3 linked regions of the Tribolium castaneum genome follow. The protein of the gene in region 2 interacts with the protein of the main gene of each other region in a pairwise test. Links are inferred from orthologs where the notes say so. Each region holds a gene or a part of one and is shown on either strand. Other genes may lie near its edges. The genes, in order: WW domain-binding protein 11, drk and mop.

Evidence for each region.
Region 1: the proteins of drk (region 2) and WW domain-binding protein 11 interact in binary tests that used the Homo sapiens proteins (3 or more experiments, as listed by UniProt). The link is inferred for Tribolium castaneum from reciprocal best matches to the Homo sapiens genes GRB2 and WBP11.
Region 3: the proteins of drk (region 2) and mop interact in binary tests that used the Homo sapiens proteins (3 or more experiments, as listed by UniProt). The link is inferred for Tribolium castaneum from reciprocal best matches to the Homo sapiens genes GRB2 and PTPN23.

The regions. Positions count from the first base shown.
Region 1 is NC_087394.1:25,616,570-25,620,653, forward strand, and holds WW domain-binding protein 11, read right to left. Parts: upstream 2,740-4,084; 5' UTR 2,633-2,739; coding exon 2,569-2,632; intron 2,514-2,568; coding exon 2,388-2,513; intron 2,330-2,387; coding exon 2,232-2,329; intron 2,175-2,231; coding exon 1,926-2,174; intron 1,465-1,925; coding exon 655-1,464; 3' UTR 615-654; downstream 1-614. Other genes in the region: Mnat9 (N-acetyltransferase 9-like protein), read left to right, coding at 2,989-3,065, 3,112-3,221, 3,269-3,325, 3,380-3,732. UniProt on the Homo sapiens protein: Activates pre-mRNA splicing. May inhibit PP1 phosphatase activity.
Region 2 is NC_087399.1:3,452,237-3,456,336, forward strand, and holds drk (growth factor receptor-bound protein 2), read right to left. Parts: upstream 2,502-4,100; 5' UTR 2,439-2,501; coding exon 2,361-2,438; intron 2,317-2,360; coding exon 2,219-2,316; intron 2,168-2,218; coding exon 2,048-2,167; intron 1,997-2,047; coding exon 1,831-1,996; intron 1,399-1,830; coding exon 1,225-1,398; 3' UTR 547-1,224; downstream 1-546. Other genes in the region: sta (small ribosomal subunit protein uS2), read right to left, coding at 1-38; Ucp4A (mitochondrial uncoupling protein 4), read left to right, coding at 3,056-3,086, 3,299-3,409, 3,555-4,100. UniProt on the Homo sapiens protein: Non-enzymatic adapter protein that plays a pivotal role in precisely regulated signaling cascades from cell surface receptors to cellular responses, including signaling transduction and gene expression.
Region 3 is NC_087398.1:12,632,836-12,636,170, reverse strand, and holds part of mop (tyrosine-protein phosphatase non-receptor type 23), read right to left. Parts: intron 2,801-3,335; coding exon 872-2,800; intron 1-871. UniProt on the Homo sapiens protein: Plays a role in sorting of endocytic ubiquitinated cargos into multivesicular bodies (MVBs) via its interaction with the ESCRT-I complex (endosomal sorting complex required for transport I), and possibly also other ESCRT complexes.

The sequences.
Region 1 (4,084 bases), on a different chromosome or scaffold from region 2:
AATGTCTCGTTATCTTTAATTTTATGATCTGTACAAGAAAAGGAAAACAATTGATACATAAATAAAAGCATTGTTTTAGTTCGATCACAATAGTTACAAATATATTTCACTGCCACTTATTTTCTACACTGGCTCAAATGTATCAATTTGTGTTTCTTTCGTTTATATTTATTTTATATTCCGAACGGGAGCGAGGATCAGGCGCTTCATTTTCTTATATCACGGGAAACGAACGGTTTTATTTTTAGTGGTTACAATCCCAAATATTATGTTATTTTGCACAGTGTTCGAGTTGTTTGTTTGACTCTTGCTCCTTAATTTTTTAATTATAAGTAAATATTTACAATGATAGGTACCATTGTTTGTATTATCCATTTGCCAAATATAAGATATACACCGCGCGAATTGAGCTTTTATTTCAAGTGACGTCAATGCGGTTTATTAGGCAATTAAACAATTGCGATAAAAATCATGACGCAAGCAAGTGTGAGGAAAACAACGATCACGCACGATTTTTCCAAAATCAAGGCTGCGGTGTACAACTGTCAATTTGACAATTCAGATTGCACGTCACAGCTTACTACCTACATTTTTTTTACCAGTCTAAGTAAAAATTTTCATTACAGGAAACTGTAATTTTTTTAATAAAAGAAACTACAATAGCGTCTGCATTTCTTCCATAAACTGCTTATAGGCGTCATCTTTCGTATGTTGCTCTGGGTGCGTATTTTGATGCAAATGGTACTCTTTCTGCTTCAACTCGTGCAACGTCCTCGTATTTGGCTTGTGTTTTTTATCCTCCCTTTTAACCCTCAACGCCGAGGGCACAAACCTCGTCACATCAGCACTCAAGTTGCGAATTTGGGGCTTCGCCGAAATCGTCGCCCCCTGTTTGGTCGACTCGACCCGATTTATGAGTTGGGGGGCTGCCGACAACACATTCGGGGTCCCTAAGGGCAAATTGGGGCCCCCTGGGAGCGTAGGCGGGGGCCCATGCAAGCGAATCATCCTAGGTGGCGCTGGTGGGATACGCAGCGGCATCCTAGGCGGCGGTGGTAATCCCGGTGGTGGCGCTGGGGGGAGAAGGGGACGGCCGGGGGGCGGGCCTGGAGGCAATCGAAGTCCAGGATTGGGGAATAGGAGTGGAGTGGGGGGCTGTGGGAGGTCCGTTCCGGGAGGGATGAGTGGTTCAGGGTGGGTTTTAGCCCGGGTTTCGTCTTCTTTTGTTTCGAGTTTTTTCTGGACGACTTCCATTTCTTTCATGAAGTCGTCGACGTTTTGGCCAGATAAAGCCACCATTTTCTGTTGGAGGGAGGTGGGCTTGGAGGAGGGGTCTGTGTCGGAGTCTTCAGTTGTTTCGTCCTTTTCGTCGTCGGTTCGAGTGAAGTCTTCCACTTCGCCGTCGTCGTTGATGTCTGGTGGCGGGCCGGGGGGGCACCCGGGGGGCTCACGCACAGGCTGGCCCTAATTTTACAAAAAAAATAGCAATTTTACTTTAACGACTTCTCGAATTTTTTCAATTTTTTTGCTACCTTAGTAGGTTGTAAAAATAATTTTGAATGTTTTTGCAAATGCTTTATTTTGGAGTTAAGAAAACTTTAGTGCGTAAAAATCGAGTGTCGAATAAGAGTCAGAGTGCTCAGAAAATTTTATAAGCATAAAAAGTGAAGATACATGAGGAAAAGCGAATTAGGAAGCTCAGATACATTTGAAAGAAGTAAAATAAGTAAAAGATCGCCAGATCGACAAAATATAGTGCCCACGATGGAATAGATAAAAAGAATGTTTGCATAAATGCTCGAAGGAATAAAAACAGTAAAAGAAAAATAAAGTAAAAAAATAGTAGTTATAAAATAGAAGTGTAAAACTTTCATTTAATACAAAGTTGTTTTTATTAAGTTGCCAATGCTTTAAAAAATACATACCAGTGCTTGCAACTTTAGCGCGGTGGCTATGGAATAAATCGTGTGCTCTTGTTTTCTTTCCGAAGGTAGCGGGATTTGCGCTGGGGCATTACTTGGTTGTTGGGGTAGTTGTGGCAGAGGAATTTCATCAACTTGGACTTGCTGTGCACTCTTAACAGACTCATAAAATGCGACTAATTGGTTCCTTTTATGTTCATAATCGGCTTGTCTTCGTTTCAAATCGGCCCACTTATCAGGATCGTCTTTATACTGAAAAAAACAACGATTCGACACCATCCAATTAAAATCCCTGTCTTCAGCACTTACATACATACTAAGAACTCGATCTAACGTATCCCTTAACTTTTTTCTCTTGTCTTTTAAAACTTTCTCATTTAAGGGCGACGGTTGATAAACATTATACTCTAAAAACACAAAAACAGTCAATCTTCCGTGTTATTCAAGCCATTACAAGAACTGTACCCATCTGATCAATTTTTTCCATTTCTTCTAAAATCTGTTGCGGGTCTTTGCCTTTCAAAACAGCGGCCCGTACCATCTGTCTCTGCTTTTTATTCTTTTTTAATTCCTGTTTCCGGGCTTCTTTTCCTGAAAATTGGCAAAATTTTGAGTGACCTAACCTCAAACCCAAACATCGTCTTACTGGCTTGGTCGGTGGGATTCATGTATTTACCACTCTTAGTGGTATTAATCGACCGGCGCCCCATTTTAACTTAATATCACTTTATTTTCACGTAAAACTCGTAAAATGCACTCAAAACATCATTGCAAACATTACATGGCGCGCGGTCGAATTGACTTGCAGCCGAATATTCTGTGGTCGAAATACAAAGTCAATCACTGAATTCTGTATTATCTTATTCTATAGAAATATGTTTAAACAGCCTACCAAAACATTATATTTTTCCATTTAAAAATGAAGCACCATTATTTAATTTATCTACAACAGTCAAAATATTTAAATTAATATTTAATTTTTCGGTATTCGGTCACAGATTAGAGTGATTCGGTACCAAAGTTAATCGGCTACAAACATCAAGACATAACCTTACATAATCTAAAAATGTTAATAAACAAAAACACACAAATTATCGGCTGCCGGACAATTTTAGTGCCTTACAAAGCCGAACATGTCTCAAAGTAGGTGAAAATAGCGTTGTTTCGTCATTTTAATAACAATTTTCAGGTATCACAGTTGGATGCAATCTGAAGAACTCCAAAAGCTGACGGCTTCGGAGCCCCTTACTTTAGAGGAGGAATACGACATGCAAAAGTCCTGGATGATGGACGAAGACAGTAAATTGGCACACTTTACTTTGCAATTTTCTAGTTCATTTTTTCAGAATGTACATTCATAATTCTTGATAAAGAGAAATACAACAGTTGTGGAAACGAAATTGGTAAATTAGTTAGTCTAGACAAAAAGCACGACGAAATAAATGCACTGTTTTAAGAGTCAATGATTGGCGACACAAATCTGTTTTTTGCAAACGCTGACGACAGGATTTGTGCAGAGGCTGAAATTATGATTGCAGAACAATGGGCTAGAGGTAGGAAATGCGGTTCTGAAGCCATGCTACTCATGTTTCTCTACGGAATTGAAACACTCGGTGTAAAAGAATTTGTTGTAAAAATTTCAGACGATAATGATGTTAGCATCCACATGTTCAAAAGTTGCGGGTTTATTGAAACTGGTCGTAGCGAGATTTTTAAAGAAATTACTTTCAGTAAAATAGTTGATGAGACGTGGATAGCGTGGCTTAAAAGTACAGTTGGCGATTATGAGGTGGTTGAAAATAAAACATAATTTTTTTGTTCATGCTTTAAATTTAGTGCCTTTTTGTTTCCTCACTTTTAATTCGGTCCTAAAGCTTATTCAAACTTTGCTCAGTATTTCCTAGGTTTTGTTGCCTAAAATCCTTAGACATTACTTGGAAATTTATATTTTTGAAAGCTCAAATAAAAATTTAAAATAAATAAGTGATTTAACCATTTACAATTTACAAAATACCAAATAAAATAATTGAAACATAAGTGACTTAATTTACATAAAAGGACACTAAAAACATATTCATTCACTAGAGAAAAATATAATTCGCGTGAAAGTAAAATAATAGAGGATGTTTCGTTTAAACCTCATATTAGAAGAAGACATCAAT
Region 2 (4,100 bases):
TCCTCTTTGAGGCTGAGAACTTCCAGACCTCCCGACATCCTTACGTTAGAATTGAGTTACGAGTAACCTGGAAGATGCGTGAAAGAGTTAGGTTATGGCGGTGTTTCGGTGATTTTTGACCGAATTTGGGAAAATAAGCACAGGATTGTGTGGCAATGGGGCTTATTGAACGTTTAAAGGGGTTTTAAGGGCGGGATCGTTGATGATGGGTCAGATTTTTCGAAATTAGAGGGACTTACGTTGAAAGATGCCACTGGGATTCGATTCCTTCGTGGAAAAGGAACTTTAGTGCCGTGATGTTGGCTATCGCCACTTTTTCACCAAGTGAAATTGTGGTGCGAAATTTGAATTTCCTTTTTTGTTTTCGAGAAAAGCAGTAATTTTCAGACTTCCAAAATGTTAAATCAATGTTCAACGAGTGAAATTCATCTGAGTAAAATTATATCATAATACTTTTTCTAATTTTATGGAATTTCTAAGGAAAGTTGGGCAGGTCAGAAAATTGGAGTATTTATTTGGAGTTAGAGGAAAGCAATAAAACGGCTGTTATTTATATAACATATATTTACTTATACTCGCCTATTATAATAATGCAATATTGTAATAATAAAACTATGTTAGTATTTACATACAAAGTCTAAAAGTCAAAGCAAGAGAATGCCAAACGAATGAGTGTTGAATAAAATTCTGGCATAATCTCTAACGCATTATATACAAATAAAAATCTTTTGAAATAAACTCACGAATCTCCATAACTTAAAGAAATACAAAAAATGGCATCTGATTTGCTAAAAATACGATATTGTGTGCACTATCTTATAGGAAATTGGATTTAAATATTAAATCTTCGACGGAAACTAGCTCCACTTGCTCCTAACTGGTTAATTTCGTTGCATATCTGAACAGAGTAAAATGTAAGCAACCTGTCATACACTCTACCTAAAAAATTAAACATTATATTATATTCCATAACCTACTGAACTGAAGAAGATTAATAAATTTCACGTTTTTCAGTACAATTGATCCAATATAAAAATATTTGATCTTAAAACTACATTAAGAGATTTTCCAAAAACAATGAGCAATTAATAAAATCATCTAAACGATTATTACAAAATCACATAAATTAAAAACCAAGTAAAAAATCGCCCACAGTTGCGCAGGTTTTTCCAAGAGTGGTGGTGAAATAATGCCTTTGAGAAAATAATAATTAAGGGAAAAATATTATGTGTGGTAAGGCGTCACGTAAGTAGCGGGGAATAGGCCGCGACGGTGTCCGATCTCGCCATGCCACCAGTGCTGATCTGAGCGGTCCGTCACCGTTATTACGTCGCCCCTTCGGAACTCTAGCTCGCCGGCTTCTTGTGGAGTAAAGTCGTATAAGGCCTGCACCAAGCACTGCAACAGGAACGTCACAATTTGCCCATTTCTACATCCATTTATTCTCCAAAACAATTGTCAAGGTCAAAACTCCCACAAAAAATCATCGCAAATTTTAAATAATTTTTTCCTCATGTTTTTCATAAAAACTTTAGTCGACAGTTTTCCTCAGTCTGATGAGAATGCAAACTCAACATTACTGCATTTTTTCCGAGTTATTAGTGAATTGGTTGAATTTAAATTAATTTAAAACGATTTGGTGCTTGAAGCGCCCTCATTTAAGTCTACCGTACAATTTTTTTGGGTTCAGGAAATCCTGCGATTTAGTATCCTAACTTATAGTCCTCCGTAGACCAGACTATATATCAAATAACTACAGGGTGATAATGCTTATACCAACATGACTACACTGACAATTGTTCTGAAAATAAAGACAATACGATTCCGCACCTCTTCGGCCACCATGTCCTTCAGCTTGACGTCTTGTGACCGGGACACGGACGACGTGCGATGGTATTCTACTAATTCATTTAACGAATTGAATTTGACTACCCAGAGAAAAAATTTGCCTTGGGCGTCCCTTAGCACCTTGAAATGTTGCACGCCGTCAGAACACCTGCGATAATGGGGGTTATTTATAATTTTGGGGGCTAAAAAGTGTGTTTACTTGACAGATAGAGAAAAATCTCCTGGACTGGATTCACTAATACGTATGAGAAAGGCCCCTTCGTGCTTGTTTGAGAGCAGTTTTTCGGCGTCAGCTCTTGTGATTCTACCGTAGTACCAACTGTTCAAGAGAATTGTGTTATTATCATGTGACCCCTCAAGGTGTATTTACCTGTGGTTCTTCATTTCTATGTAATTACTAGGAATTAGGCCTTCTCTGCCGTCCAGTTCAGCTCTGTACCAGTTCATGTCGTCTTCCATATTCAGTATCTGGAAAAATGGTTTTAGGGCAAGCCACAATTTCGGGGAAGTACCTTTAGGACTTGAGATCTACGAAAACTAAGCTCATCGTCGGCCGTTGCGTTGAATTCGTGCTTCGCTATTGCTTCCATTGTTCAAGTTCGTCTTATCACAAATAAAAGCACAAGAGCTGACTCCAAAAAAGTTCAAATAGCACCGGCAATGTCAATACATTGGCTTCCTCCAACTAGCACTAAGCATCCGCTTTGTAATCTAACGAATAACACATTTCTTTGGAAGATAATCACTTTATTTGGTGTTTTTGTTGGGTTTTTACGCGAACCTTACGAGAACCCTCCCTTCTGTCACTGATGAAATTCAACACTGGAGGACAATCATGGCGGAGGAACACTATCTTATCACAGCCAATCGCTCTTATCGCGCAAACACAACAAACTCGCCGGCTTTGGACAAGTAATCAGGCGCAAAAGACGATAATCCGGAAAGAATTCGATACTGGGTACGGAAATAACAAAAAAAAGGTGAAATAATCCGGAACTACTTTTCGCCAGGGGCGCAGTAATCGTCTGTCACTTGAATCAAATTCTACCAACACCACTCACACGTCACCAACAATGTAGTCCCAAAAGCACTGCCGTGACAATTGTTATCTATAACTGTTCGTTATTTACTTAACTAATGAAGTTACGGAAGTTCCACCAAACAAATAAATGGTGAGTTTGCCATTAACTGGCCCCAAGTGGTGTCAATGTGTCAAAGTGACAACAAGTTGGTTGCAGGTTAATAGTGCGGTGTTGTCAAGTCGTCACAACAATTTTTTGAATTTTAATTGCCCTTTTTTTCATTAATTTTGCAATTTCCATTCCGCTTTATCACGCAGAAAGTAGGAATGAAGGCTTATTGTGTCTTTATCGGTCACGCTACGTGCACATTGCCCCCGCGGGAGTTTCGAACTTTGCCCTATGGGAATCTTATAAGACCGTGATTTCAGGCTTTTTGGTGAAGATGCCGCAGATTCCGCCCCCGAAGGAGCACAAGTACGTGGACTCGCTATGGTGCATGTACATGGTATCGGTGGTCGGAGCGTGGAATGCGGAGTTAGGTAAAAATAGAAATTAAGTAACTTTTGCCACCTTGTATTCCCTCAAAAAATCGCGCTTTATTTATAGAATAACTTGGCGTTTGTCGAGTCTTTCGTTTAAGTTAGTTTTGATTTATTCATCACCTGACCTTGACTCTCGTTGCAGTGACTTACCCGTTAGATTTGGCCAAAACGCGGCTGCAAATACAGGGTGAGGTCGCCAACACCAAAGATGCGAGCATGGTCAAGGCCCCGTACCGGGGGCTGTTCCGCACCGCCGTGGGGATCGTCTCCGAGGAGGGGTTTCTGAAGCTGTGGCAGGGGGCGTACGCCGCCTTGTACCGCCACTTGTTCTACTCAGGTACTCGAATTGTCACGTACAAGCACCTCAAAGACAAGTTTTTCGACTCGGGCACCGAGCAGTACTTCCCCGTGTGGAAGTCGGCCCTTTGTGGGGTCACAGCGGGGGCCTTTGCACAGTACATTGCCAGTCCGGCCGATTTACTCAAAGTGCAATTACAAATGGAAGGCAAGCGCAAAATCATGGGGCTGCCGCCGCGAGTTAACGGCCTTTTCGACGCGTTTAGGAAAACGGTCGAGACTGCGGGGGTGAGGGGGCTGTGGAAGGGGTCAGTTCCGAATGTGCAAAGGGCCGCTTTGGTCAATTTGGGCGACTTGACGACCTACGATTCGGCCAAAAGGTTCATCTTGA
Region 3 (3,335 bases), on a different chromosome or scaffold from region 2:
GTATAATACTGAAAAAATATGATTCCTAAATATTTCATAAAAGTTTAAAAATTTTCTATGAAAGTAAAGAAATATTTGAAAGTATCTAGTTCTAAACGAAAGGCTATGGAGTTTAACTTAACAGAAATAATAAGGTAGATGATAGTTTAGTTTCATCTGAAAGAACTGTCATGGGAAAGTAAAAAATTAATTAAACCTAACTGAGAGGTAAAGATAGTGTAAACTCTTTATCGAAAACAATAATATAACAAAAATTGTATTAGGAATAATTATTACTAATTTGCGCACCGTCGCATATTTATCAAAACGCTGGGTATACAGTTAAAGATACAAAAAAAAGTGTATGAATCAAAGTAGTAAAGAATTAAATTGCCTACAATTTCCGAGACACCATATTTCTATCTTCAACGCTTTCGGTTATTAATTAATTATTCCGAAACCTCACCAGCGGTAAAATGAAACGAATCCGTCGCTTGGACGTCTTTGGAGCTTAAACAGTGTTGACGATAGATATGGTCTCGCGGAGTTTTTTAAAAGAAATATAATTCTCTATAACTTTCTTCCTAACATTTGTCCCGTATCTTTAGCAGTATTCGCAGCGTTTTAAAAAATATGGGACGAAGCCCTACATTTAATTATTTTTTTAGTAGTAAATTTTTCTTTATTTTTTTCCCAGTAATAATTAGTGAATTGGTTGAATTTAAATTAATTTAAAACGATTTGGCCACAAGACGGTATAACGCTTAAAGCCCTCATTTTTATTCCGCTGTATTATATTTTTTGGGTAGCGAAAATCGTGCAATTTTGTATCTCGTTTCGTCTCCTAATCTATCGCAAATAAAAAACTCATCTTTTATTAATTTCCACTCACCTTTACATACGAAGCATTAATATAATCGTCTTTCGCCGCCTTCAACTCAACTCTCGAGTAATCGTAGGGCAAAATATCCGGAAATCGATTTTTCATGGGATAACACCTCGCTACCGAAATCGCTTTTTTCTCCACGTCTTGCTTGTCCTGTATTTCCTTCCATTTCAAGTCCAAATTCGTCGGTCCGCTCAAGGTTTTGTTCGTCAAAACATCGACGAATTTCTCAAACTTATCAATTTCCGAGCCGAATAGTTTTTTCACTTCGGAATTATTGAGAGGCTTGCGATTAACAACTCGTTCGATTTTCGGCGGTTCTTCCTCGTTTTTCACAACTTTTGTTGGTTGTTTTACCGGAGTTTCCGTTTTTTGGGGCGGTTTTATTTCAGGATCCGATGGTTTTTGTTGGGGAATAAGTGGTGCTTGATTTACCGTAAAATCCAAGCCGGTGAGTAAGTCGATGTTTGATTCCTTCGTTGTTGCGGTTATGGAAGTGTCGGAGGTTTGTGGTGACGGTGTTGCGTAATTGTAGCCACTTCCATAGGTGGGATAAGTCTGATTTTGGCCATAATTGTAGTAGTATTGGTACTGATCGTAACTTGTGTAACCTTGGCCGTTACTTATTACGTAATTTTTCGAATTCGAATCGGAACTTTTTAAATCGACCCCAGGTGAGGAATAAGTCGAATTGTAACTCACATTTGAAATATTAGGGTGGACCGAAGTTGCATATTCGTTACTACCGAAAGTGTTAGGGTAGGAGTAGGTCTGTTCGGTTGGTTGCACTTGAGCGGGGCCATAACCGGCGGGATAATAAACGTTAGGTTGGCTAACCTGGTTATATTGGTTGGTGTATACGTCAGGTTGGACAACCTGACTTGTTTGATTGTACGGTTGGCTCACTTGAGCCACTGACATTTGGCCGTAGGGTTGGCCAGTCTGGCTATACGTTGTGTACGCATCATGTTGGCTAGTCGTAGGTTGGTTATAAAGTTGGCTAGCCTGATTTGGTAAACTCGGTGTTTGATTGTAAAGTTGGCCAGCTTGATTAGGTAAACTCGGCGTTTGATTGTAAAGTTGGCTAGCTTGATTATAACTCGAGTAACTGTCAGGTTGGGCGTAGTTTTGGTAAGGTTGGCTAACCTGCGGGTAACTCTCGCCAGGTTGGCCAACCTGTCCATAATTGCCTAAACTCGTCGTCGAAGGCGTACTATACGACATTTGGTACCCCTGATATTGTCCACCAATATTATCAGCGGTCACTTGATTATTCTGGGTACTGCTCGAAATCGGTTGGTACGTATCAGTGGTAGTAGTATAGGCTTGTTTGTTCACTTGGGTATTTTGTCCATAATAGCCCATCCTCAAACTGGCCATTCTGTCGGCCAAATTTTGATCTAAACCGGCATAAACCTGCTCTTGCGGTTTGGTTACAACCGGTTCGTTGATTTCGGAGCCTAAAGGCGCCGGTCTAACCGCCGGGGGCCACGTCTGGGCATCAGGTACGCCTTGAGGGTAATACTGGGGACTGACGTCGTTAAAACCTCGCGTTTTTTTCCTAGTATCGATAAAATCTTTCAATTTTGGCGCCGAATTTATAACCGGTTCTTCTTTGGTCGCTGGTACCGGGACCGAGTTTTTCAACAGCATTTGCTCGCGTTCTTCCTGTTGTACTTTACATGCGCTTTTAATACGTTGCAATAATTTCGAAACGTTGGTTTCTAATTTGTTGTAAAAATCGATGCCTTTGTTGGCCTTTGCTACGAGATCTTCGTACGTATCGTAGGAGGTGATGAGTGCGCTGACTGTTGATGTTCTTTTGTTGATCACGTCCTGCAAGTAGCGACGAGTCGACATCGACCGAGCGTACGCATCCACGAAGGCTTTGAGAATGTTTTCCTGAGCTGCCACGTTCTGTTCTATCAGATTCGTCTGAAAAAAATACATGGAAAATGATTTTAAAAAACTCTAATTCAAAAGTGCACAAAAAAAGAAAAAAATAATGGTTTTTTATGAAAGGAGAGTATGTTTGCTTACGGGTTAGGATTCCAAAATTTAATAAAGTAATTCTGTTATGCCGTATTGTAATGATTTAGAGTACTTATGACCATTTCCAAAGTTTTTAGAAAGTTTTGAATCCCAACCTGTAAGCAAAAACATTCTCCTTTGAAAGAAAAACATTTTTTTTCTTTCTTAGTGCATTTTTTTGCATATTTTTTTTAAACATTTTTTAATTTTTTTTCTTCAAGTCTTTATTTATTCTAATCGTCTTTTTATTTTGCTGATTTGTGCACTTGTTTAGCGGTATGTAGTAGAAAACAGCTGTTGGCATTTGACAGCACATCCTAACCTTTGATTTATGCCTGTCATCCAAGATAAATGAATTAAAAAAAAATAGCGACATTCCTTTTGTAACAAAACGTAATAAAAGTGATTAGGTATTAATATATTCCTATAAGGGAATGAG